Caenorhabditis elegans: one gene and its partner. The protein of the gene in region 1 purifies or fractionates together with the protein of each later gene. This does not show direct contact. Each region holds a gene or a part of one and is shown in the gene's direction. Other genes may lie near its edges. The genes, in order: T01B7.5 and F52C12.2.

Region 1 (7,397 bases):
TGGATTATCTATCGCAACCTTTTTCTAAATTATTACCTGAATCGTCGACAGGTGTTTGCAGCTGAATTTATTTTCAACGAATCGAAGCACAAGTGATGATTTACCAACACATCCTTCGCCGAGCAACACGATCTTGAATTTGAACGACTTCTGATCCACGTTGGTTTCGAGCATTTATTCTGAAAGTATTCGATTTTGAAGGTTTATTTTCTTTACTTCGCTTTTAAAACTGAACCAGATATACTAACAGTCACTTATACTGTCTTTTCATTTCATTTTTCAACCCATATAATCAGAAGTAATTAATAGTTTATTGTGAATATAACAAAACGAGATCAAAATAACAATACAGTGAAAATTAGAGTTGGCCACATTGAACAACAACAATCGGAAGTTTCGGCTTGTTATTGGCTCCAGTTGGAACATTTTCGATTTTCCGAACCGTCAGCATTCCATCGAGTACTCGTCCTGCAATAAACGATCGGTCAGAAATATCAAACATATCAATGGCGTCATTAACTAGCTTTATCTCGTATAAAAGGTGATAAGGATATAAGGAAATCTAGTTGTTTTAGCTAGACGATGACACGCATTCTCGTTCTAATTTTTTTCTTTTTAAAATGCGTTTCATTGCAAACATTACTTCCTTTATTGTATGCTAACGCTGGCATGTTCAACCCATATAATCAGTATAAAACAACAACTATGGCACCATCAATGTATCACCAACATTATCAGTGGGTATCATTAAAATTTGCGATTTTCTTTTTAAAACACTGCTTTCAGGGGATTGGGATGGAGAACTAATGACGTTGGAGACATTTATCACAATCACAATCCGTATTCTTCTTTCTTTGTACTACAGAAATCAACTTATCCGTGAATTTGAAATAAAAAAAAATTACCAAAAACTACATGTTTGTTGTCAAGGAAATCGGTTTTTGCGCAAGTGATAAAAAACTGACAACCATTTGTGTCAGAGCCAGCGTTAGCCATCGAAAGCATTCCTGGTCCTATGTGCTTCAGCTCGAAATTCTCGTCACGGAACTTTGAACCATAGATGCTCATCAAACCGGTTCCATCGCCCTGAAAAAATGATATAACTTTAAAATTTAAAATTGTTAAACTTACGTTGCAGAAGTCGCCACCCTGAATCATAAAGTCCTTGATCACACGATGAAATGTGCAGTTTTTGTATCCGTTTGGGACACCATCTTTTTTGTATTCTCCTGTACAGAACTGACGAAAGTTTTCAGCAGTTCTCGGTGTTACATCAGCAAATAACTCGATCTGAAAAATTATGAAATATATAGCAAATTAAAACTGGAATGGTCGTCAACTTACAACAATAGTTCCGATTGGTGCACCACCGGCGGTAACTTCTAGAAAAACGATTGGGTTATCCGGATGACGGAGCTGCTCGGCAAACTTGTCGTATTCAGTCATTCTGAAAAAGAAAACATATAAATGAGTTAGTTTTTAAAACCAGAAAAACGTTTTCTGTAAGTATTCGAAATAAGTATTTTCGAAATGTGTCAGGTTTTTCCGAGAATAATGGGATCAACTGAACTAATCGTTCATAAGTTTTATAACCAAGAAATACAAATTCGTCAATAAAATTCGACATATTCAAGAAAAAAGTGATATTCGTTCTATTCAAAACAAAAAAAGGTGAGCATTAAATGGGTGTATAGAACAATAATAAAGTGCGCGGGTAGTTTGCAATCAGAAACCCCGCCCACAAAGCCCTGCCGCTAATAATTTTCCCCCGTCTTTTCTCAAATTCAACTCGAAAATTCAATTTTTGAATAATTTATCTTGTAAAAGTTCGTTCTATTCATTTAAAAATTAATTTATCGAAGTTTATCACACGATTAAAGCATAATTAACTTTATTAGAGTTATTCATTGATTTGAAAATCAGAATTTGGTTTATTTTCGGTCGGTGCAATCCGTTTCTCTGTTGAAAATGCTATAAATTGCTAATTTTTGGATTTCAGATACTAGAACTATGTCATCAAGGAAGGGGAAAGCGTAAGTTGAATGTTTTTCACAATTTATAAATAATCATTAAATATATTTTCAGATCTGCTCATATCTCATACGAAGACGAAAATGATGATCTCATTGATGAAATCAATACTTTTCATAACAAAGACAGAAAAGTCGAAAAGGGTGCTATTCACAAAAGAAAAACATTCAATCGTCCAGAAGAGGTGTTAAACGTTGAAGCAGAAGCATCGGATAGCAGTGAAGACGATGGATCCGACTTTGATGATGACGATGTTAATGGTAGTTTTCTTTCTGAATTACCTGATTAACGTAATTTATTTAAGATATCACGGACAACAAATGGGGTAAAAAGAGGAAAGATTTCTATGGAACTGGATTCGTGGATAAAGATTGGGGCGGAATGCGTGAAGAAGAAATGGAAGATGCTCAACTCGAAGAGGAAGATGCGTTGACTCGTCAAAAACAAATCGACAAATCGACAGCTGCCATTGCTGATTTATTTGACGACGACGATGAAGATGAGGAAGAAAAAGAAGAAACTGTCGAGGTAAACGAATTGAAAGAATAATTAAAATAATGAAAAGTTTTAGGTGGAAACAGTTTTAGAATTCAATGAGGAGAATGCAAGGACAAAGAACAAAAAAATCGTGAAAACTCTGGAACAATTTGAAGCAAGAGTAAGTTCTAATTTTTTAAAATGTCTCTTCACTTTTTTCCCGGTATCAGTTGCAGCTTCTTCCTCTTGTGATAATTTCCTATTTCTTCCTAATGCCAATTCTCGAAAGTTTATTAAATTTTGAAGCTATCACTTGTGAACATCAAATGCTGATTCGTATCGTTTCCAAGGTTAATTTTTCGTGTTCTCTCTTTTTCAGTATCTTCCCGTTTTCACTTCATCTGTTCTCTTCATTCTTTCAACTAAACACCACCGATGGCTAGTAGATAAGCGGTCTCAAATCGCGCAATCGTCTCTGATTACGTCAAAAACGGGTTGCCATCATAGCCTAAGGATGCTGGACGATTCGCTTTAAACGATGATTCTCAACGGACAAAACACACAATTGAAACGATTTAAATCATCCAACATCAGACGCCGTTATGTGTGAACATTAAAAAGCGAAAGCAAAGTGCCCTTCTGGTGTCTGAAGAATTCGATGCCTGAACTGCTCGAGTTAGTTTCGTATGTTCTCATCCTCAAACATCACATTCTAATTATTCTCATAACTTGTCTTGTTTTCCTCGTTTCTGTTCACCTGGTCGGTTTGTAATTCACACCAAACGATGTTGGACATATATCGGCAGCGACCGCCAGCTTTTTCTGTTTTTCAATTATATATTGCTACTTTCAATTCTAATTAGCGGCTAAGAATTGTTATACAGCTGTTTCCGGAGAGCTCGTGACCAGTTTCCTTTTCACCTGATAACATTTTCTCTTGTTGTTATCTTTCTCTTCTTCCTTTTCACTTGTTTCTTTTCATCACCATTCTAACAGTTCAATTTTCCCCTTTTTTCGGTTTAATTTTAATTTTTTATACTTTTCAGAAACGCATCTTCGATCTCGTCGTGAAGCCTCTTGAAAATGTAATCAAGCAGATTCCAAAATGCGCATTGCGATCGCAGTTAGTCTACGTTGCCCAGACATATGCATCGTATGTTTTCTTTTCCTAAATTTCCATTTTTATGATTTATCTTTCAGATACCTCATGAACACAGCATTCCTGTTGAATCTCAGAGCCAAACAGTTTTCCAATGAAAAACTCGACGATCCACTTGTTGACATCCATCCTGTAGTGGAGTCGCTGAAACGACTTGAAAAGGTATTCCGATTGATTTAAATTTCAAATACAAACTTTTAAATTCAGAAAATCACCGAGTGTGAAGATTTTTTGCATTCGAATTCGGATCATCTGGATGAGCTCAAGAAATGGGCGGAGTCGGAGCCAGAAAATATGGAAGAATTGATTTCGAAGGTTGGAGATGTTCAACTTACAAAGAAGAATTTTGGAGCAATTATGAACAATGTAAGTTTAGGGAAAACATTATTCGAATTTAAATACATTTTTTGTTTGCCGTATATTTTAAAGATTTTTAAAGTTTGTAAAATTTAAAAAAATTGTACATTCTTTTGTCAATAAAAATCAGGAAACATAGCTGAATTGGATTAAGATCTGGATTTACTTTTTTCAGAATCTTTCAACAATCACATCTTCTGATAACACATCAATTCATCCACACTTCACACCAATGGATGCAGATGAAAAAAGAAAGGCCTCTGACAAAGTTGCCAAAAACCGTGAATACGCAGAACGACGTGGGAAAAAGAAGGCCAAGACCAGCAAGGTAACTTTATTTTCGATTTTTTATCTTATTTTTAATACCAAAAATATTTGTATCATAAACAATTAGTGTATGAAAAATAATTCGATGAGTAGGGTCGACATTTCTTGTGCATGAAAATGTTGTTACAATGCTTTCACGAATACATGAATATATTTGAAAAATAACAATTCTTGTTTGACAAAAAAGTCTCACAAAGCCGAGTTTCATGTGAGATCAAAATATGAATACACTACATAACTCTCTATTTTTTGCTCCAACCCAAAAATCCAATACGTCGAGACGGCGTCTATGCTCCCCACCACAGCGAGTAATTGGCTGCCGAAATCTCAACTTGCTTATTTGGTTTCTATTTTTTTAAGATTCTTTTTCGAGAGTTGTGATAAGAAAATAATTAATTCAGTATCACACCTGCTTGCTACTGAATTCAAAAAAAGTTTTTTAAAAAGCGTAGTGTAATGAATTATCTGAAGCATATTTTAACTCAAAAAGAAAACCGAGCACAAATGAAGCATATAACCATGACTTATTCAGACAGATAAGTAATACGATTTTGTTTAATCTTAATTTTTCTTGAAAGAAATAAAATAGACTCACTGTGACATAGACAATTCAACGTCTAGGCGACGACACTTGAGAGTTTCATCCTTGGTTACGTATACTATGCTCATTTTTACTGCAACTCCCAATTAGCTGCGTTGTGTGTTTTTTTTTTTGAAGTCTCCCAGTTCAATAATTTCTAATTTCAGACTAAAAATCGTCGCAAGGTCCACGCCATCGAGAAGCGCGTCAAGTCTCAGATTGGAAACGTTCGTCGCGAAATGCAGAAATATTCTGGAGAAACGAGCGGAATTCGTGCATCTACAATCAAGTCGACTAAGCTTATCGCTTAAAAAAAGTGAGTTGAATGTAATGCAGACATCTCATTCTGATATCGTGCCATGTCATATTTATCACGCGACATACTCTTCACTCTCCACTGCGCAAATGAGCTTCACTCTTTTACACATGAAAATAATTAGCATATGAAACCGAAAACAATGTGAATATTAACTTTCAACATAAATATCCTATCAACATATAAAAACAATGAAAAACCTGAATTTACTTATCATATGGTACGTATGTTTAACCTTTTCCTATTCCTCTCGTTTGCCCTTTTAGTCGGTTGAATGTGTTTTTGTGTGCCCGGTCACTTTGGGGCTATATTCATCAAAAGAGGATAGCCTTCTTCTTATTCTTCCTCCATCGGTCATTTCGCTCCTCTCTTTTCGACCCCGGCAATATGTGCGCGAGGTCTGGCACCACCGTGTGTGTGTGTGTGAGAGCGAGTATCCTATTTTTTATTCGTGTCCCCCGTCCCCATGAACGACTGGAGCCCTAGCCACCTGCTACTTTCCATTTTAGTTCAGCTGACCTCGTATTGTCTACGAGCTGTTCATAATTTCATAAGAGCAATAAAGTGTACTATAAAACTGTGATTTCAGACTGTTTCTCTATTTTTGAATCTTTTTAAATACAACAAATTCGAAAAGGTGTTGACTAGTCTGTCTGAATGAATATTTTAATTTGAGATTTGAGTCTGATGTGTGTTACACATTGATGAGAATTTAAAGTAATTGTGACGTGTCATTCTCGAAAACCAAGCCTCTTCGGATTTGTTCAATAATTCGTATAGCTCGTTTCATGTCAGAAAGGCGAATACCCGTAACTAAATTACTTTTTCCTAGAATGCTAAAGAAAATAACTGATCTATTTCAATCAAGTTTAGGCTAAAATTTAATAATTGATGGCGTTCACATATGTGTGTGTGCCTGCGTGTGTTTGCGTGTTCGATGATAAGCTTTCTTCTGATTGTCTTCCTATGATTCATCAATTCTATTGCCTCCAGCCTCTTCTTCTTTCATACAATTTTTCACTGAAAGTTTCATAGCTCTCGGAAAATGCCTACGACGAAAATTGTAGTCACATATCACATATTGATAAGCAGACGTTTTTCATATTTCTCTATTTCTATTCAATGATATAAAGTGGTCTGCAGCATGTTTGATTATTAATTTTTTTTTTTCTAAATTGAATTATCTTGGCTTTGAACTGATTAAAAAATGCATTTTCTATTTTCTTTACAATCGATCGTTTTGTTATAGTCCTCGTGTGAATTCTAAAAATGTTCGTTCATCAGAAATTATAGATGACCTTTGTTTATTTTGTGTCTTCTATGAAAAAAAAAAGAGCCTATCATCCAAAACTTCTGATATCAACGGTTGAAAATTAATTTTTATCAATTTTCTCAACATTGCATTACCTTTTCAACCAATTTAATTTTCAGGTGTCATCAATTTCTCCGTTGCCACTGCATTCAGCTGGACTTTCCTGGTTTTTTTGATCGTTAATATCTTGTTTTCTTTGATTTATTCATTTTTCATTTATCCTGTTAACCTTCGTTGTTGATTTTTTTTGTTCCTAAAATCGCCCTTTCTACCAAAATGAAGTTGAGTTTTCAATTTTATTGAAAATAATTATTTTATTGCCTTATATCGGTTTGAAACCCGACGAATATCTTTCTTCTATTATCTTATTATTGTCATTTCCCATATTCACATTACTTCTTCATTATTATCTTCATACATTGTTATCACATGGCTCCTCATTGATTATGATAGATTCATTTCCCCTCTGGAGATTTGATTGTCTTGGCAACAGTCATTCTCCCCACCAACACATATCAGCTCGCAGCTCCGCCTCATTCTACATTTTCTCATTTTACATTCCATTCAGTCGGCTCAGTGTCTTTCGTTTCCCCAAAAAGCTCGCTTAGATATAAACCTATAATTATCAGAGTGTTGAAGCAAACATCTCCGATGCTCGGTGAGCTGCAGTGACTAACTGAGACAAGCACTGGTTTTCAGCTTAGAAATTCACCTGTTTCTGTGGCATTTTCGCAATATTATATTTCCTGAATTTCTTAGAATCAGAGTGTCACTGTAATTTCAGCTGCTCGTTACCGAGGCTTCACGTAATGGGCGGACGAGTACTGTTCCCCAATGC
Region 2 (5,450 bases), on another chromosome or scaffold:
ATCTACAGTAATCCCTCGTAAATCTACACAATGAGCCTCCGTAAATCTACATTAACCCCCGTAAAACTACAAAATGCTTCCGTAAATCTTCACAATCATCCCCCGTAAATCTACAATAAGCTCCCGTAAATCTACAGTAATACCCCGTAAATTTACAGTAATACCCCGTAAATTTACAGTAATCCCCCGTAAATCTACACAAAAATCCGTAAATCTACAGTAATCCCTCGTAAATCTACACAATGAGCCTCCGTAAATCTACATTAACCCCCGTAAAACTAAAAAATGCTTCCGTAAATCTTCACAATCATCCCCCGTAAATCTACAATAAGCTCCCGTAAATCTACAGTAATACCCCGTAAATTTACAGTAATACCCCGTAAATTTACAGTAATCCCCCGTAAATCTACACAAAACTCCGTAAATCTACAGTAATCCCTCGTAAATCTACACAATGAGCCTCCGTAAATCTACATTAACCCCCGTAAAACTACAAAATGCTTCCGTAAATCTTCACAATCATCCCCCGTAAATCTACAATAAGCTCCCGTAATTCTACAATAATCCCCCGTAAATCCACACAATTCTCTTACAGTACTCCACACATCGCCGGCGCTCGTCAACTTTCTTCCCTTGGAAATGCTCGAATCCATCCAAACTTCCACGATTTTACAGAATCTAAAAGTTAGTACGACACTCCGAAATCCCGCCGAAATTTTGGTGGCGCCAAATCAAAAAATTCAAAAATTTCAGCCGCCCACACCCAATCGACCGCCGTGCCGACCGCCGTCTTACTGGCCATTTGTAGATCACCATGTGACAAATTGGCAGGAATTCCGATTTCAGGCCGAGCAGGCCCGACAGGAGACGGTTTTGAGGAGGCTTAAAAAGTAGATTCTAGGAAATTTCTAAAAAAAATGCTCCAATTTTCCTGTAATTTTCAGATTACGCCCACCGTCGCACGCCGAGCTCCGCCGAGAGCGGATTACTGTAGAAAATGTGGATTTTCACGTGTTTTCGCCAGCCTCTTTCTCCCATCGGCTACCAGCTCGGCCGTTGTTCTCACTAATTTGTTATAGGTGAGCATTTTCGAATTTTTAACCAAAAAATTTGAAATTCCCGGCCTTTTTTTAACCCGGGAAAGGAGAAATTTTCAAATTTTCCGCTTTTTCAGCGCCACCGGACCACCGCTGAAAATTTCGGAGCTCGCCGAGCTCGAAAACGTGGTCTTCGCGATGGAAGAGGCCGGAAAAGTGAATTTCGTTGCGATGAGTGGAGCGTCGATTGATCTCAATAATTATTTGTGTTGATTTATCGATTTTTTCGCTATTTTTATCGTATTTGTTGCTCTATTTTTCCCCCGAAGTTGTTCAATTTTCAATATTCTTGTTCAAACTTCCGCCCAAAAAACTTGCCGGTTAAACTGGGCGCGGGTACGTTATTTCGTTATTTCGGAGTGTTGTTGTTTTGAATTTTATCGGAAATCGTTGTGAAATAGGGGTTTTTAGTGGTTTTAATGAATTTTTTTTTGAAAAATTGGTTTTTTAAACTAAATTTTGATTTAAATTTAGGTATTTCACCAGGAAATATCGATTCTCAAAAGAAAATCTCCGAAACTCGGTGGTCCGCTAAACAACACGCGCCATCGGGATTTCGGAGCTTCGTTGTTTCTATTTTATTTATATTCAGTTTTTACCATTTTTTTTCTTGATTTTTCTATATTTGAAGGTGTTTTTTTGTGTAAATAATCGAAAAGATGGTAACAATTAAAAATATGTTTCTTCCAGATTGTCGGAATTTTGCAATGGGAAAAGGAAAACATCGAGTTGTGAAGCCACGAAGAGCGGATAAACCGCCGAAAGAGCGAAATGTGGAGGAAGAAGTTGAGACAGAAGAGGAAGAAGAGGATATCGAAGATGAATCCACATCGGAGCCGGGCTCAGAAGACTCTGACGACGAGCCGGAAGAAGACTACAAATTCCCATTTCGTCTGGCGATGTACGATTTTAATCAGTGCGATCCGAAGCGATGCTCCGGGAGAAAGCTTCTTCGTGCGAATTTGATCACAGAAGTGAAGCTCGGGCAACGATTTCCCGGATTAGTGCTCAGTCCAACCGGAACGTACACATTGGCTCCGCGAGACCGTCCATTTGTCGAACAGAATGGGCTCTGCGTTGTGGATTGCTCATGGAAGGAAGTCGAGAGAACTCCGTTGCATAGGTGCGGGAAAACGCATTAAATCGAGGAAAATCTGGAAAATTTTAGAATTCTGGAAATCTGTTATAAAAAAAAATTTTCGACGAAACATTTTTAAAAAATCCATTTTCAAATATTTTCAGTGGAAAGTCGCTTCAAAATCAGCATTTTTGAGGATTTTTCTCAATTTCTCAGTGAAAAATTTCAAATTTTAAATAAAAACCTGAGAAATTCAGAATTTCTAAATTTAAATGTTAGAATCCCCCGTAAATCCACACAAAAACCGTGCGTAAATCCACATGATGTTCTCGTAAATTCACACAAGTCTCCTCCCGTAAATCTACATGAAATTTTATTGCTTGCTTTAAGCTCTGAAAAATCTCAATTTTTTTCAAAAATAAAAACCACAAAAAAAATTGCCTGAAAAATCTAAAATTTTAAAATTTTAATTCCTTGTGGCAAATGTGCTCTACTGATAATCTAGGTGTTAATAATGTTATTTTTACTAAAAATAACATGATTAACATCTATGACTATCAGTAGTTCACATTTAGTCACGCGTAGGGGGAACCTCTGCCCAAAATTTCATTACTCCACCTCAACAACTTAGGAAACTTAATAATGTATTATTAAAGCCATTATCTTCTCATACAAAAAGGATTTATTGTAAAATATTATCCTTTATTAAACATTCTCGATTTTATTTTCAAAAAACTGCAACAAAAAAAAATGGCTAAAAAGTTAGAAATTTCAAGTTTCGGGTCTCGCCACGAAATTGTCTGGGTTACTGTAGTTTTCATGGTGGGGCCCACGATTTTTTATCAAATATGATGAAAAATTGGTAATGGCTATACTCAAATAGAACATTTGAATAAAACTCAAAAATTTTGAAAAAAAAACTAAATTTAATAAAGTTATGGGGTGATTCAAGTAGTGTAGCAAAATGTATTTAAATACATGTTTTTATATACTTGAATACAGTTGTGACGTAATTTATCAACACTTTTTAATTTTCCGACATTACTTGAATAACCCCATAACTTTATTAAATTTTTCTGAAAAAAATCGAAAATTCGCAAAACATGAAATTTTCTGTGGCAAATGTGATCTATCGATAATCTAGATGTTAATTATGTTATTTTTTTTACCAAAAATACCATTATTAACACCTGCGACTATCAGTAGTTCACATTTAGTCACGCGTAGGGGGAACCTCTGCCCAAATTTTCATTTTCCCCTAAAAAACTTGCAATTTTTCCAGAGTAAAAGCCCCGGAGCACCGTCTTCTTCCATATTTGGTGGCAGCCAATTCAGTCAACTACGGAAAACCATGTCATCTAACATGTGCCGAGGCGATGGCCGCCGGTCTCTACATTTTAGGCTTCCAGGAGGCCGCAAGCCGCCTCATGAAGCCCTTCTCCTGGGGAGATCACTTTATTGAGCTCAACAAAGAGCTTTTAGATCTCTACGCGGCTTGTGATACACCGGAAGACGTGATTCGAGCACAAAATGAGTATTTGGAGAGAATCGATAAGGAACGGGAGCAACATTCCCGGGATATTGATCTACCGCCGAGTGGTAGTGATGAAGAATATGAGGATGAGGAAGAAGTGGAAGAATTGAAGAAATGTGAGGATTTTCGACTGGAAATTCTGAAAAAGCGAAGAAATTTGACATAAAACTGAAGAATATTGCAAAAATTTCAAATTTTTGATCATCGAAAATTTTAAATATTTGCAAATTTACTAAAAATCACTAGAGATTTTGGTTTTTTTTCACAATTTTACTGAAAACTGAAAAATTCTAATTTTCGTTCATAATTCGTACGAAATTATTTAATTTTTCGGAAAAAAAAATTGAAAATTAACTGAAAATCACAGTTTTCATAAAAATTCTTTGAAAACCTTTAAAAAAAAAATTTTTTTTTTTGAGAAAATCGATAAAAATTTGAATTTTTGAGAAGTTTTTCTATATTTCAATTTCAATTTTCCAAGAAAAAATATTAAAAAATTGAATTTTCTGAAAAAAAAATTTGAAAAAAATAATTAAATGTTTTCTTCAGTTTTCTGGGGAAAAAATATAAGAAATTTATTTTTCTAAAAAAACATTTTTTTATTTCTATAAAAATGCGTATTTTTCGGGGAAAAGACGATAAAATTTTAAATTTTCCAAAAAAAAAAGTTGAAAAAAAATTTGAAAATTCGAATTTTAGGAAAAATGACAAAAAAATTGGAATTTTCTGTGATAAACGAATAAAAATTAAAGTTTTAAGGAAAAATTTATTTTTAAAAATTTAACTTTTCTTTTTAGAAAAGTCACATATTAGACCGAAAAAATTGAATTTCTCGCTCAAAAAATCGAGAAAAACGCATTTTTATATCAAAATACCCTAAAATTTATAAAAAATTCCACAAAAAATAATATTCCCGCTCCAAAAATCGAGAAAAAAAAAATTTTTTTAGTGCAAAAAATCCCTAAAATTAATTTTTAAATAATAATTCCTTCAAAAAATTCAAAATTTTCAGAAAATCTCCCCATTCACTGCCGCCGAGCTTCATCAATTTCTGCACATTGTCATTTTTCGTTGGATTTTTTTTTGATAATTTTTTTCCTTAATTTTTCGTTTTTGTTATTGTTTGTTATTCATGTTTCTTACTTGATTTCCGGTTTTTTCTCTCATTTCCCCGCCAAAAAAAAATTGGAAAATTTAATAAAAATTTCAGGTAAAAAATTCAAAATGACAGCGGCGACGACAAGCTCCGACTCGGAAGGCGAAATGGATTTTGAGACGACAATTGAGACGGGATTCGGGTATCAAATCGATGGATTACTGTATCAGGGAGCCGAGGCGAAAGTTACAAAGTGTATTTGGTTGGGAAGGCAGGCTATTATCAAAGAAAGGTTCGAAAATTCGACGAAAATCGGCTAAAAATTAGCAAAATTCGGTTAAAATCTCACTTTTTCACACAAAAATTCAAATTTCCCTCTGTCCGTACGCTGCATGTGCGCTCCACTGAGAAAACTCAAAAATTCAAATGTCAAAAAAAAAGTTCGGAAAAAGTTGACAAAACACTCGAAAATATCTAGAAAAATATGAAAAATCGTGCATTTTCACTCGCAAATTCAAATTTCCTGTCTACCGCAAGATGCAAATGCGCTCCATTGAATCAATTGTGACTCTTACACTTTTAATTCAAATTTTCGTAAAAATTTGGCACAAATCCCACAAAAAAAAACTTGAAATTTGTGAAAAA

What was found.
Region 2: the proteins of T01B7.5 (region 1) and F52C12.2 fractionate together in Caenorhabditis elegans (co-fractionation; one large-scale study listed by BioGRID). This does not show direct contact.

What each region holds. Positions count from the first base shown.
Region 1 is NC_003280.10:8,714,835-8,722,231, forward strand, and holds T01B7.5 (Sas10 C-terminal domain-containing protein), read left to right. Parts: upstream 1-1,999; 5' UTR 2,000-2,010; coding exon 2,011-2,033; intron 2,034-2,085; coding exon 2,086-2,291; intron 2,292-2,335; coding exon 2,336-2,559; exon of another isoform or gene 2,560-2,602; coding exon 2,603-2,689; intron 2,690-3,554; coding exon 3,555-3,661; intron 3,662-3,708; coding exon 3,709-3,829; intron 3,830-3,874; coding exon 3,875-4,033; intron 4,034-4,199; coding exon 4,200-4,352; intron 4,353-5,098; coding exon 5,099-5,242; 3' UTR 5,243-5,247; intron 5,248-6,678; 3' UTR 6,679-6,851; downstream 6,852-7,397. Other genes in the region: Ras-related protein Rab-21, read right to left, coding at 37-174; cyn-11 (Peptidyl-prolyl cis-trans isomerase 11), read right to left, coding at 359-468, 906-1,086, 1,132-1,290, 1,345-1,446; T01B7.13 (uncharacterized protein), read left to right, coding at 583-737, 787-883.
Region 2 is NC_003282.8:1,951,792-1,957,241, forward strand, and holds F52C12.2 (18S rRNA aminocarboxypropyltransferase), read left to right. Parts: upstream 1-1,787; 5' UTR 1,788-1,804; coding exon 1,805-2,220; intron 2,221-3,457; coding exon 3,458-3,825; intron 3,826-4,721; coding exon 4,722-4,723; 3' UTR 4,724-4,918; downstream 4,919-5,450. Other genes in the region: tsen-54 (tRNA-splicing endonuclease subunit Sen54 N-terminal domain-containing protein), read left to right, coding at 596-684, 754-890, 945-1,079, 1,175-1,310; F52C12.6 (non-specific serine/threonine protein kinase), read left to right, coding at 4,934-5,097.